Linked DNA regions of Cricetulus griseus. The main gene of each other region encodes a partner of the protein of the gene in region 2 in a complex. Links are inferred from orthologs where the notes say so. Each region holds a gene or a part of one and is shown on either strand. Other genes may lie near its edges. The genes, in order: Flnc, Fblim1 and Flna.

Region 1 (3,578 bases), on a different chromosome or scaffold from region 2:
CCTTCCCATGAGTCTTTCTGTCCTGCCTCATTCTTGGGACAGGAAGAGAAAGAGGAAACCTAAGGAGAGAATGAGGGAGCGTACAGGCCACTGGATGAAGCCAGGTTTGGGGGCCAGGGGCACATTGTCTTGGGTCTCGGTGGCATCCCTGTGGAGTGCCTGGGGATGCTCTGTTGTTATGGGATCCATCTAGTGAAGTGAGCTTTGCCCTGCTTTGCAACGTGTTCACAGAGCATTCTCGCCTGTATTAGAACTCTCAGGGTCAGGAGCTTAGACTGGTTGTGGAGACCATGGGTATCTGGTCACTGGTCAGGTAATAATCTTAGGCAGACATGTGCCCCACGGATGTGTGGAAATTGGTAGTAGTGACTCAGGAGAGGCCAGAAGAGGCCAGAAAGATGAGTGTGGGAAGGCAAAAGTGTTCCAGACAGAGGCCAGAGCTGCAGCATAGGTACCCAGGAAACCACAGAGCAGGGTGAGGTGCAGAGTATAAATGAAGATTGGATATCCTGCCCAACCACGTGTGGGGGGATTGGTCTGAACTCAGGGGTTTGTGGAGAGGACCATCTCCTGGAAAGGCACCAGAGCCACAAGGGCTCTGGCTCTAACCCAGAGGGACATGAGGCCTTTAATGGGATCCATTCTAGCAGCATGGAACATGGAGGGCAGGTCAAGGACCAAGGGATTAGTTCAGAAGCTGCTATGGAGTCCAAGAGGAGACCTGAGCTAGGTCAAGACTTGAGGGGAGGGTATAGTTGTTCCAGGTCTGACCTAGTGTCTGGAGCAAGGCTCGGGATTCTCATTTGGTTTCTGCTGGATAAAGAGCATCACTGCTTGAGGCAGTGGTCACAGTTCTTTGTTTTGTTTGAGACAGGGTCTCTCTATGTAGCTCTGGCTGTCTTGAAACTATGTATCTGGCCTGAAACACAGAAAGAGCCATCTTTGCCTTTATGCTGGGATTAAAGGTGTGGGCCACCACTCCTGGCCTTGTGATCACAGTTCTAAGAACCTAATGTGACGAACATCCTTCAAGGTGGGCTTAATGTTAAGTGGCCTTCCAGTCACCTTTAATAGCGTTCCCTCTCATCTGCCATCTACTAGCCTTCCAGCTAGTGGGAGTCTAATTCTCCATCAGGTCCTCTTTCAGCCAACATTTCAGACCATAGTTCCTATCTTTCCCAGGCTCTTGCTCTCAGCCCTCAGGGTCAGGTCTCTGGGTAACAGCCAAATCACCTCTGTGTGGTCCTCTACTCTGGGTCAGGAGGCAACAGTGGACAAGCGCACACACTCATAAAGAACAGCCAAGCCTCTGCAACAGCTACACTTTATTTGGTGTTTTCCACATGTGCAAAAGTCTCCCAGAAAGCTGGGCCCCACAATGTGTAAAAAAAGACCCTCAATAGGGCAGAGCTGTGCAACCATAAAAAAAAAATATATAGTAAGAGAAATCAGTCCCCCAGGAAGCCTGGCTTGGGCAGAGCACGTCACTCGGGGCCAGTCCACATGCCAGGCGCTGCTTGTTCTGGCTGTATTTCCTTCTGATTATTCTCCAAATCCCTTGCTCTAGGGTTATGGCTACCAGAGCTGCCAATAGAGTCCTCAGGCTCGACAGTTTGTGAGGGTGACTTCTCCCACACACAGATAACCAGCTCAGTGCTTGCCCAATGGCTTCAGCCCCACTATGATCCTCGGGGCTTCCACAGACCCCCCCCCAACCCCTGTCTAACCCCCTATATCACAGTCTCTGCCCCTGAGTCTGACTCCAGTCTGCCCTCAGGTCACATCTGAGGGACACTGATCCCAGACAGATAAAAGGCCCTCCACCCCTCAAGTGCACGGTGGGGTGGGAGGTTGTGCCACTCACTTCACACCTAAGGCAGGTGTTTTCGTGTCTGATTCTGTGAGTGTGCATAGGGATATGGCACATTTGTGTGGGTGTGAGTTTGGCAGGAAGTGGGGGCCCTGGGCTGGGGGAGGCACTTCTGGGATTCAGGGCACATTGACCTTGAAGGGGCTTCCGGGGACACTTTCGTCACCCCATTTGACAATGAGGATGTAGTCTCCTTTTTCCTTGACAGTGTAGGTGACGTTGTATACCCGGTTTCCCATGTGCTTCACATAGACCTCTTCACAGGGTGTCTTGGGCCCGTGCACACCCACCATCATCATGTTGGTGCCTTGAGAGGGAGGCAGAGAGGAGTGGCTCACACCAGGGCCACAAGAAGCCCACACCCCTACTCCCTGGACAGCGTCCTGCTCCCTCCCCTTCTCCCCCTGATAAGCTGGGACATACCTGCTTTGCTGCAGTCCACAGTGAATGAGTTCTTCTGACCTACAAAGGCCTGGGACAGACCAGGCCCCCTTGTCACCACCTTGCTGGCATCTGAGGAGAACTTGGGGATGGAACTGTAGCTGGCGCCACGGCTTGAGGAGGACTTGGTCACGGTCTCCACCAGAACTGTAGATGTTTCATGAAGGCTGTGGCCTCCAGACAACCGGGGACCTGAAGAGCAGAGCAGGTGGCCAAGGGCCCAGTCAGAAGGACTTCCTGTCCTTTTCTAGGACATTGAAAATCTTCTGGGATGGGCCTTGGGTGACATGGAACGCACCAGGCCCCCTCCTGTCCTCAGCTGCAGCTTTTGAAGAATGGAACCTATTCCAAACAAGCAGCTCCCAATGCACCAATCCCCGCTTATCCCTGGGCCTGAGCCACTTCTGGCTCCATCCCTCACCCTCCCAGACCTCCTCTGGGGAGTCAGCAAGAGTGTGGCTTTAAAACAGAACAAACTAGAGCTCTAGCTCAGTAGTAGAGCACTTGCCTAGTATGGGTGGGGCTCTGGTTTCAAACCCCAGCATTGAAAAAGAGAGAGTTGTATTTTTAAAGACATGATGCACAACTCTAAAGAATGGGATGCTGCCTTGTCAGGCCCGCCTCCTCCATCAGGGTTACTTGTCAGGCCCACCTCCATCATGGTTACTTGACCACAACTGAGGGCAGACCACAATCAAATGTGAAAGGCCATGAGAGCCAGCAGGGCTGGGTTGGGCTGTATGAACCTTCTCCACCCAGGATGCTCACTCACCTGTGACCTTTGCTTTGAAGGGGCTGCCCACAATGTGCTGAGGGCCACCATACTTGACGGCAATGAGGTAGTTACCGGGGGCCATGGGAGTGTAAGTGACTACATGGCCCTCAGGACACTCCCGGCAGTCCAGCTGCACTTTAGAAGGACCATCAATGGTGACAGACAAGGCCCCGGAGCCTGCATTCTGGGTGTTCACAATGAACTCGGATGACACACCTGGAGGACAGAGGAGCAAGGCTGAAGGCAAGAAAGAACGCAGCCCCGAGTGGGGCCCTGGGTTCCTTGGGCAGCACTGCAAGTCAGAACCAACAAGCGCGAACCTACCAAGAGTGTCTGACCACGCCCCCAAACTACCAAGAGTGTCTGACCACGCCCCCAAACTACCAAGAGTGTCTGACCACTCCCCCAAATCTAACCCCACTCCCCCTGTAGCTCTACACACTCACCAGTAGTGCCTCCCTCGAGCCCAGGCCCATAGGCTGACACCAAGCC
Region 2 (4,786 bases):
AAGCCTGGCCCTCCTCTTATCCCCCACACAAGCCCATGCCCAGCAATCAGTCTTTAGTATCCAAGGCCCTAACTTTCCCCCTCCAGCCTCCCACACTCAGCTCACTGAGGGGAACCCAGGCAATCTGTGTTAGTAGTGGGATGGTCCCATGTAATGACTCCAGGCTCTATGTGTGCCGTCTCATGGAGATGGAGCTGGGTTAGTATATAGTGCTTGCTTAGCTTATGCACACACACACACACACACACACACACACACACACACACACACACACACACACACACACACACACACACACACACACACACACACAGAGAAAGGAACCTTTGTGCGAGTAGGAAGAGCCCTGCCTCTCCAGATCTAGTTTCAACTGGTCATCAAGGTTTAATCAGTTCTTCCTTTCCGGATACTTCTGTCTCCTGCACCCAAATGCTGGGGTTTTAGGCAAGGGCCATGTAGCTCAAGTGGACTTTGGCCTCAGCTTCTAAGTGTAGTACCTCCATGCCGAGCTTTCTTCTTTTTTCCTTTATCCCCCACCCCCACCCCAATGCAAACAGTGTTAGTCTGCATAGCCCTGGCTGTCCTGGAACTCACTCTGTAGACCAGGCTGGCCTCGAGCTCATGGATCCGCCTGCCTCTACCTCCCAGTGCTGGGATTAAAGGCGTGCACCACCACCTGGCATTGCTCACTTTCCGAAGGAACAATTTAAGACTCAAAGAGTTGTCACTCCTGCCTAACAACCCACAGCAAGCCAGTGGCAGCTGTCCAGAGTGGACTGAGGTCTGGAGCCAGACCCGAGCCTTTACACACTGCTGCTTGGCCTGCTGGGTGAATAGACCTGTGACCTGTGGGGCATCTGAGCGAGCCATCTCTTCCCCCTCTGTAGGGTGCTGTCCCCCACCTCCTTCCCTGAGTGATGAGGATCTAGACCTCCTACCACCTCCTCCACCGCCCCCTTCGGCCTACCTGGCTCTCCCAGAAGAGGAGCCTCCCGCCCTGACGGGGTCATCACTCATTTCTGACTTGGAGCAACTACACCTGCCCCTACCCCCACCTCCACCTCTGCCACAGGTACTGACAGTGTCCCCAAACCCCCTGGATGGGTGGGGGACCTGGGCCTTTCCAGTATTACCAAAGGGGGCATGGTTTGGTCCCTTATGCTTGAAGGTTATTAGTCTTTAAGCCTCTTCCAAGCCCCAAAGCTGGTAGAACTGTTGAGGATTTTCAAGGTCCCTGGAGAGACATGTCCCTCGTCCCCTTTGTTTCTTAGTTACCCACTCTGCTCCAAGACATGTACTGGTTCCGACCCAAATCTCCACACTGCATAAGAAGACAATTAATCGTCTGGCCTTCATAGAGAGGGTTGTTAACCTGAGTGGTGTCCTGGGTCACGGTCTATGTCACCTCCAGCACAGTGTCAGTGGGCGGGACATGTCATCCCCAGGACATTCTCAGAAACAGGAGTCAAACTGGGCCTGATAGTTGCAGGACCATAATCCCAGATACAGACAAGGCCAAGGCAGGTTGACCACAAGGCCTAGCCTAGGCTACAAAGTGAATGGAAAGCAAGCCTGGGCAACTTAGTGAGACCCTGTTTCAAACTAGTAGGTAGAAAAAAGGTTGGGATATAGTTAGCTCAGTGGTAGAGTGTTTACCTAGCAAGCATGAGAGAGTCACTTTGATGGAGGGAGCCCCAGGTAGGGAGCAGGGAGGTCCTTGGCTCTTGCTGCCATGGTAACCATCCTGCTAAGCTATAGAGGCAGGACACTTGCTTCTCCAGACTCAGTTTCCGCATCTGTACAATGGGACTAATTGTACTCGGAGCCACCTAGACAAAGAGCCAAGATGGGAGAGTCTGGTGGGGTCCCCACAAGCTGATCTCTCTCCTTTCTCCTTGATCTATGCCCCTCCCCAGGCTCCACCGAAGGGATCTTCTGTCCGGCCTCTGACCAGTCACCTCAAACCCACAGAAGAGGAGCTACCCCCTCCTCCAGAAGAGCCTGTCACCTTTCCAGAGAAAGAGGCATCCACAGGTACAGCCACAGGCCTGATTTCTGATCCTCCTGGGGCCAGAATGGGCTTCTCATAGGAAGTGTGGGTGTAGGGCTCCCCCTTCTCACATGACAGGGATGTCTATACAGTGTGCAACCACTGAATGTCCATTGCTGCCTTGTGCTTGCTTCAGGTTTGTTGTTATTGAGATAGGGTCTCATGTAGTCCAGGCTAGCCTTGAATCCCATATATAGCCAAGGATGACCTTCTAGTGCTCTACCTGTGTCACCTTGTGAGTACTGGGGCTGTAGTTTGCCACTGTGCCTGGTTTATATGGCACTGCAGACAGAAGCCAATGCTTCCTCCTTGAAAAGCACATTCTCCTACCGCCCAGCTACAGCCTTACCTTTGTGTGTTTGTATTGAGACAATCTGGCCTTGGGCCTGAGAGCCTCTTGCCTTAGCCTCCTCAGTGTCAAGATTACAGGATAGCTGGCACTAGCTGGCTTGGAACTTACTATGTATGAAGTCAGGCAGGCTTCAAAGTTGTTGCAATCCTCCTGCCTCAGCCTCAATGCTGGTGAGCTACTATGCCCACCTTTCTTTTTTTAATTCTTTTTTGTTGTTGTTGTGGGGGATGGGTAGCAAGACAACTTGTCACCAAGAGAGATGACTTTGTTTCTGTCCCTGGGGCCCACGTGGTAAAACAGACTCTCAGAGGTTGTTCCCTGATCTCCACGCAAGGTGGACATACAATCAATCAATCAATCAATCAATAAACAATGAAGGTTTTGTAGTTATTTTTCCATTTGTTTATTCATGTCTGTATGTGTGACGTAGGAGGGTTAGAAGTTTACTGTCGGGGCTGGAGAGAGGGCTCTGTGGTTAAGAGCACTGACTGCTCTTCTAAATGACCAGGGTTCGGTTCCCAGCACCCACATGGCAGCTCATGACTTTAACTCCAGTTCCAGGGGATCCTGTGCCCTCTTCTGGCACCAGACATGCATGTCATGTACCAATATACATGCAGGCAAATACCTAATACATATAAAATAATAAAAAAAAGTATTTTTAAATCCAGGCGTTGGTGGCACATGCCTTTAATCCCAGTACTCGGGAGGCAGAGGCAGGTGGATCTCTGTGAGTTCGAGGCCAGCATGGTCTCCAGAGTAAGTTCCAGGACAGCTTCCAAAGCTGCAGAGAAACCCTGTCTCAGAAAAAAAAAAAAAAAAAATATATATATATATATATATATATATATATATATATATATAATCAAGAAGTTTAAAGTCATCCTCAGCTACATAGTAAATTGGGGGCTACCCTGAGCTACAGGAGACTTTGTCTGAAAAACAGCCAACCAGGCATGGTGATACACACCTTTAATCCCAGCATTTATGATGCAAAGACAGGAGGATATCTGAGTTTGAGGCCAGCCTGGTCTATACTGCAAGTTCCATAAATTCCATGCCAGCTAGGGGTACACAGTGATACCATGCTTTTCCATGCTTTCCCCACCCCCCAAACACACACACCAGTGACCAGTGTCTTTTCTTTTCTTTTCTTTCTTTTTTTTTTTTTTTTTTTTTTTTTTTGAGACAGGGTTTCCCTGTGGCTTTGGAGGCTGTCCTGGAATTAGGAACTAGCTCTTTTAGGCCAGGCTGGTCTCAAACTCACAGAGATCCACCTGCCTCTGCCTCCCGAGTGCTGGGACTAAAGGCATGCACCACCAGCTGCCTGGCCACACACACCAGTTTCTAATTTTGTCCTTTGAGCTTTGGGACCAGGGATCCTGTCTGTAGCAGCCACAGGGCCGTTCTCATTGTTGGCTTCCCCAGTGAGTCTCTGAGTGGGTTTCCTATCTCCAGGTGCAGCAGCTCTTTGACCTTTTTTTAAGGCTGTGTGGCAGTCCCCAGTAGGAACATAGGTGTGGTGGGTTACACAGCCTCCTCCTGATGGATTTGTAGGTGGTTTCTTGCCGTAACTGCATGGAGCTGATTCACCTAGCTGTGGGGTTTTCTCGGGTAAATTCCTAGAAGAGGAAGTACCCTAAAAAAAAAAAAGGCTGCTGTTTTTGATTTTGTATTTTTGTCAAATCACCTTCCTTACTCATCCCAGCCTACGTGCTCCCACCAGCAGGGCTGAGTTGTTTCTAGAAGCCTCTACAGCACTCTGTGCCTTGTGTAATTGAGCTGTGACCTGCTTCCTTAGGTCCTGCCCCAGGCACTGAAGACACCGTTGAGTCTAATGCAGTATCCTTTTTCCTGGGTCACAGAGCAAGACACAAGGGCAACTGTTTTCCTAAGTGTGTCATTTATTTTTCGACTTACGGTAGATTTTGTCACACACATACACAAAAAAGGGGGTTTTTGTTTGTTTTGTTTTTTTAAGGTACAGTCTTACTATATAGCTCAGGCTAGCCTGGATCTCTGTCTACCTTCGTTAGTCTTCAGGACTCTGGAATTACAGGTGTAAACCACCACACCAAACATCAGACTTTCTGGATCTTTTTTTTTTTTTTCTTAAGATTTATTTTAGCCAGGCATGATAGTGCATGCCTTTAATCCTAGCACTCAAAAGACAGAAGTAAGACCTCTGAGTTTGAGACCAGCCTGGTCTCCAGATAAGTTTGTTACTATTGTTATTATTATTATTATTATTGGCTTTTCAAGACAGGGTTTCTCTGTGTAGCCCTGGCTTTCCTGGAATTCACTCTGTAGACCAGGCTATCCTCGAACTCAGAGATTTGCCTGCCTATGCCTCCCAAGTACTGGGATTAAAAAACCATAGGAGA
Region 3 (4,886 bases), on a different chromosome or scaffold from region 2:
CTGGAATGCCGGGTGTTGGTGGCACACACCATTGGTCCCAGCACTCGGGAGGCAGAGGCAGGTGGATCTCTGTGAGTTCAAGAGCAGCCTGGTCTACAAGAGCTAGTTCAAGGACAGCCTGCAAAGCCACAGAGAAACCATGTCTCCAAAAACCAAAAAAGAAAAAACAAGAAAAGAAAAAGAAATTGGAGACCCTTCTTGGGTTTCTTGGATGTGTATGCATTGGGAGGGGCAGTAAAGAAAGTTCAAATTCAGTTTGTATGTGTGTGGGGGATGTCTTTGAAATGCAGCTCACAGTCACTACCTCCCCCATGCCCCTTCCATCTGCCTACCGGTTGATCTGATTACCATGCCTGTGGGTAAATGGGTTTATCCTCCGGAAAGACAATCATCTCCATGTACTCTAGTGCCACCTCACAAACTTGAAATCAAGCCACTAATTTAGCAATTTATGATAATTCATTGGCTTCCCTAGCAGAGGTCTCCTGCTAGACAGAACAGTGAGGGATCTTGATCTTATTGGGAGGCCAGAATGTGAAATGTCATTGCCAGTGGAGCCAACAAAGGTAGCACTGGATGCATAGTGCCTGGAGGGGACCCCAGCACTTTGCTCTTCAAGTTACACTATAGATTACTAAATTGACTCTGGAGATGTGATCAAACTCCCCCTCACTGCTCTTTCATATTCTTTCTTTTCTCCCTTTTATCTTACTATATAGCATGTGCCACCTTCTCTTTTTGATAATATTGAGTAGGAAAACAAATTAAATAGGCCTGTTATTCCAACATTTATGAAACAGAAATTGGGAGGGGGATTGCCACTTCAAAGCCCAGTCTGGGTGCTACATAGTGATTTCCAGATCAGCCTGAGCTGCAGAGTGAGTCCTAGTCTACACACACACACACACACACACACACACACACACACACACACACATCAGAAAAGGAAAATCTAATTTGCAATTATCTATTTCAATTTCATGTTATGTGCACACTGGCATAATGCAAATGTAGCTCATATTGGGGTTGCAGGTAAAATGAATAACAAAATGTTAAAAATGGCATTGCTTTATGTGTCCTTTCTGTAGGAAATGACATTTGAGTTGAATCTGAAACTACCAGGAAATGGGCACATAGAACAGGAAGAGAGAGCTTGACAATATTAGGTAATGGCTGTGCCTACCAACTTCACAGATATTTGGCACTTTGTACCACACTGCACACCCCCAGGCTTTAAGACTTCACCTGATTGCTTTGAGAATTCAATGTATTTTTGTTGTTTGCTCACAGCCAACAGCTGCACCTAGCAGGAACCAAATCAATGATAGCTAGCTACAAGGGCTTGTTCATTACAGTGCTCAGGGACCCATTGGGGCCTTAGGAACGAACGGTTGGTGCTCACTGCAATTACCTGTTTCATCTCTTCCCATGGAACAAGACCTGACCGGTGTGGCCAAACCAGGCTTGGGCAGAGGCAGAAGGCTGTGACTGTGGGCAATTCCCCTGTATAGGTGGCTTTGGAGCGGGGCCTTCTTTCCAGCCAGTAAGCATTTGGCTCCCTTGTACTCATCTAGCCTATTAAAGGTTGGGCCTAAACACAGGTTTTGCAGACCCCCCCCCCCCCCGGAAGCCTGGCGGCCCTCACGGAGCAGTGAGCTCATTCTGAGGGATGGCGTCGCCTGTCAGCCAGGGCACTTGAGCTCGTGGCGCGCCCCCGCATCCCCTCCCCGCCCCCGGCTCCAGGGCGATTTTACCAATTAAGGCTTTCTTGCCGGGACGGGCTCTGCCGGGCCCCGCGCGGGGCGGACGTGGGGCGGGGATGCAGCCAACAAGAAGGCGGGCAGCAGCGGCTCATTCGCGTGGAGGCGCGCGGCGCGCAGCGGACGCCAGGGGAGTTCTGAGGCCTCTGGCTCGAGCGCAGAGAGCTGGGCGCCACCCCGCGGTTGGAGGGACAGCAGGTGAGGGCTCTGTAATTAGCTCCACACCGGATAGTAGTCAGATAGTGGGTGCGACGCTCGGGAGCTGGGAAAGGTTTGGAAAGCAAGCAGAGAGGCCGAGGCCAGGCAGTTTGGGTGTGGACTCAGGTCCGAGGCATCGTGTTAGTGTCCAGACTTGCATAGTTTACCACAAACTTATGTTTGTGCTCAGGAATCTGTGAGCTCGAGGTCATGGGGGGGGGGTCCCTGAAAGAGGGGCTGGTATCTGAGTGTTTGGCAGGAGATGGGTACAGGCGTGGGTACCCATTAATTGGTCTTTGTGTGACTCTCTGGGGGTGGGAGGGAGGTCTTTTGAGACTAGTATCTTGATTGGGATAAGGGTGAGTGGCAACTTAGAAGGACACTTTTCAGCCAATGGCAAGGGTGGATATGAGTCCACCCTCATATGAATACATATGAGATGATGAGTCCCCTGCTAGTTTGGACATAGGGAGCTGATTTCGGGGCTGTGGTAGGGGTATAGCGAGACAGATTTCCAGCCTGGATCTTGGGTCCTGTCTCAGGTTGGTTCTGAGTATGACGGTCATTGCCAGCCAGAACATAAGCACCAAGGTTCCCAGATCCCAGGAAAGAAAAAGTGGGTGAAACCCACACACAGTCTCTTGCAGCTCCAAGGAGTCTGGCCAAGGTGGAAAGTTCAGGAAATCAATTCTCTATCTTGTCACACCTGAATTTGCCTTACAGGCACTGGTTTTACTTCAGGGATTTTCTGCTTCCTTCCCTCCTGGCGCCCCCTGGCTACACAAGTCTAGAAAAGCTCTTCAGGGTCCTAGTATAGCTGGTGGGCTTGGGTCTATAGTTCCCTATGGGAGGGCCTGGCCTAGGGTCTGATGGTGGGGGTGGGAGAGGTGGGCGGGGTGTGCCTAACATCGAAGAATCTACTCCAAATAAGGGAAAATATGAAAGAGCTGGATTTTGGCTTCCTGGAGCTGCCCCTGGATCTTTGAGATGGAGCGACATCTGGTGGTGGCACTGTGTCCACTCTAAGGCCAAGAACTCTCCCCCCTCCCCCACCCCTACCCCCGAAATAGCCAAATCATAGGGCTGGAAGCTGGGACTCCCAACTTCTGTGTGATCCATTACTATGATTCCGTCTTCCTTGTTTCCTGCCAATTAGTGAACTCAGGTGATCCAGACAAATGGCACACAGTGGAAAATCCATTATTGATTCAATTCCATACATGGGGATTTACTCTCCAGTAGGTCAGGGTAATCAGAAAGATAACTCTAATTATGTCTTGAATGACAGCCCTTAAATTTTCCATTTGGGTTACCCCCTCTCAGTTCTGCCATCCTGTCCCTCAACTCTCCCCTTGGCTTACTTGATGCAGGTATATATGAAAACAAAAGAGAGGATATGCAGGTGACTGGAGGTAGGATAGGGGAGTTCCATACTGAAAATGTTATTTGACGGGTGAGATTATAGAGAGTACCAAGATGAACATGCTGAGGCAGAGGTGGTGCCCATTGTGAATATAACCTTACCATAGCCCCACCACAGGCAATGCAGACACCCCAAGCAATAGGAGAGCCAACCATATTTGGGCATGCCATGTTGGCCAGCCCAAGGCCTCCTTCAACCACCAGTCTTTCAGAAGATAAATCATTGCTACAATTTGAGAAGTAGTGATAAAGGCCTGCCTTTCTGGAAAAACACAGAAGGGAACATTCTGGAGAGGCTTGAAGTACAGAGAATGTAGATGGAAGGAGTCTATCATGGGAAAGGTAAGCGAATTCCCTTAACTGGAGGGTGGTAGTGAGTGTCTCCTACAGTTTCTTGCCTCTGTGCCTTTGCTCACCTCTGCCTCAGTACAGCATCCTCATCATTATCCCCAGAATTATCTATCATAAAATGAACTTTAAGTGAATAGCTTCATACCCACTCAGGGAACACAACCTAGGCTCCTCAGCAAGCCTTGGTGCCTGCTGATTGTTTTTCAGTAATCTGGGACCCTATCCCTGAGCCTCTCCACACCTCTAGGGTCACACCAAACCTTGGGGATACTGTGCCAGACGAGAACTCTACTGCAGAACTCTTCAGGGCCCCAGGTGGATGGAAATGTGAGTTAGACAGGCACAAAGTGTACCCGTCTACACGCATCACAAGGCGGGTGTCTTCTGATTATGACCACTGGCATGTCTCGGGGCCTTTGGAAGGCTTCTTGGTCCTGGAGTGCTGGCAGCCTCCCTGGCCCAGTTGCTTGCCCCATTTCCTCCCAGATGGAGCTAGGGGGCAGGCAGGGCCACAGAGACTGAGAAGACCAGCGAAGATGGGTGGGGCGGGCCAGGGGTCTGCGGGTGGCTACTTAGGTGATGAGAGCCCTGAGTCGCAGCTGTTTCTTGGCACTAGTGTGCACAAAGAGTTCCCAGCAGTACCAGGCTGTCTGAAAGGATTCGCTCTCAGGATTGGACTCTTTGCATTGCTGTGGAACAGACTGCCCCTGAGGACCCTCAGCTCTGGAAGATGAGGGAAATGAAGATAGAGGAGGAGGGTGCAGGATTGGGGCAGAGTTCAAGTGATTCAGGGACCTTATTCGCTCCATCCCCTGCAGGGACCTTGAGGAAAGAGAGTCCCTTGTAAGGGCGTGCCAGCTGGAATTGAGCAATCCTGTGCCAGAATTGGTGTGTGCCAGAATTGCTCAGCCTTTCCCAGCTCTAGCGTCCGTTTCTTGTACTGTTAGCAGATGTTGCCGGACCTCCTCGTGCTCTTTGGGGCTCAATGACCCTCCCTGAAGCAGAACTTGGTCGCCTTGGGTGGAGCAGGGGAGGGGTGCTTTGTGGGGCATTCCAACGGGCGGGGCGAGGTGGGGCGGGCATGTCCCAGAAGCCCCACCCGGAGGCTCCGCCCCAAGGAAAACTTGCCTCTGGCTCCACCCTTTGCTCTCATTT

Evidence for each region.
Region 1: the proteins of Fblim1 (region 2) and Flnc are in contact, whole or in part, in an NMR structure (PDB 2K9U), measured with the Homo sapiens proteins. The link is inferred for Cricetulus griseus from reciprocal best matches to the Homo sapiens genes FBLIM1 and FLNC. Residues at the interface, in NP_001337080.1 of Homo sapiens: Arg8, Val9, Ala10, Ser11, Ser12, Val13, Phe14, Ile15, Thr16, Leu17, Pro19; in NP_001449.3 of Homo sapiens: Thr2339, Ala2344, Gly2345, Gly2346, Leu2347, Ser2348, Ile2349, Ala2350, Val2351, Glu2352, Gly2353, Pro2354, Ser2355, Lys2356, Ile2359, Phe2361, Asp2380, Glu2382, Phe2387.
Region 3: the proteins of Fblim1 (region 2) and Flna are in contact, whole or in part, in a crystal structure (PDB 4P3W), measured with the Homo sapiens proteins. The link is inferred for Cricetulus griseus from reciprocal best matches to the Homo sapiens genes FBLIM1 and FLNA. Residues at the interface, in NP_001337080.1 of Homo sapiens: Lys7, Arg8, Val9, Ala10, Ser11, Ser12, Val13, Phe14, Ile15, Thr16, Leu17, Ala18, Pro19, Pro20; in NP_001104026.1 of Homo sapiens: Met2207, Gly2208, Thr2263, Arg2264, Gly2267, Ala2268, Gly2269, Gly2270, Leu2271, Ala2272, Ile2273, Ala2274, Val2275, Glu2276, Gly2277, Pro2278, Ser2279, Lys2280, Ala2281, Ile2283, Phe2285, Cys2293, Glu2306, Phe2311.

What each region holds. Positions count from the first base shown.
Region 1 is NW_023276806.1:198,357,139-198,360,716, forward strand, and holds the end of Flnc (filamin-C), read right to left. Parts: coding exon 3,533-3,578; intron 3,303-3,532; coding exon 3,084-3,302; intron 2,504-3,083; coding exon 2,294-2,503; intron 2,178-2,293; coding exon 1,990-2,177; 3' UTR 1,309-1,989; downstream 1-1,308.
Region 2 is NC_048595.1:11,664,314-11,669,099, forward strand, and holds part of Fblim1 (filamin-binding LIM protein 1), read left to right. Parts: intron 1-887; coding exon 888-1,072; intron 1,073-1,916; coding exon 1,917-2,034; intron 2,035-4,786. UniProt on the Homo sapiens protein: Serves as an anchoring site for cell-ECM adhesion proteins and filamin-containing actin filaments. Is implicated in cell shape modulation (spreading) and motility.
Region 3 is NC_048604.1:1,462,200-1,467,085, forward strand, and holds the start of Flna (filamin-A), read left to right. Parts: upstream 1-1,828; 5' UTR 1,829-1,958; intron 1,959-4,886. UniProt on the Homo sapiens protein: Promotes orthogonal branching of actin filaments and links actin filaments to membrane glycoproteins. Anchors various transmembrane proteins to the actin cytoskeleton and serves as a scaffold for a wide range of cytoplasmic signaling proteins.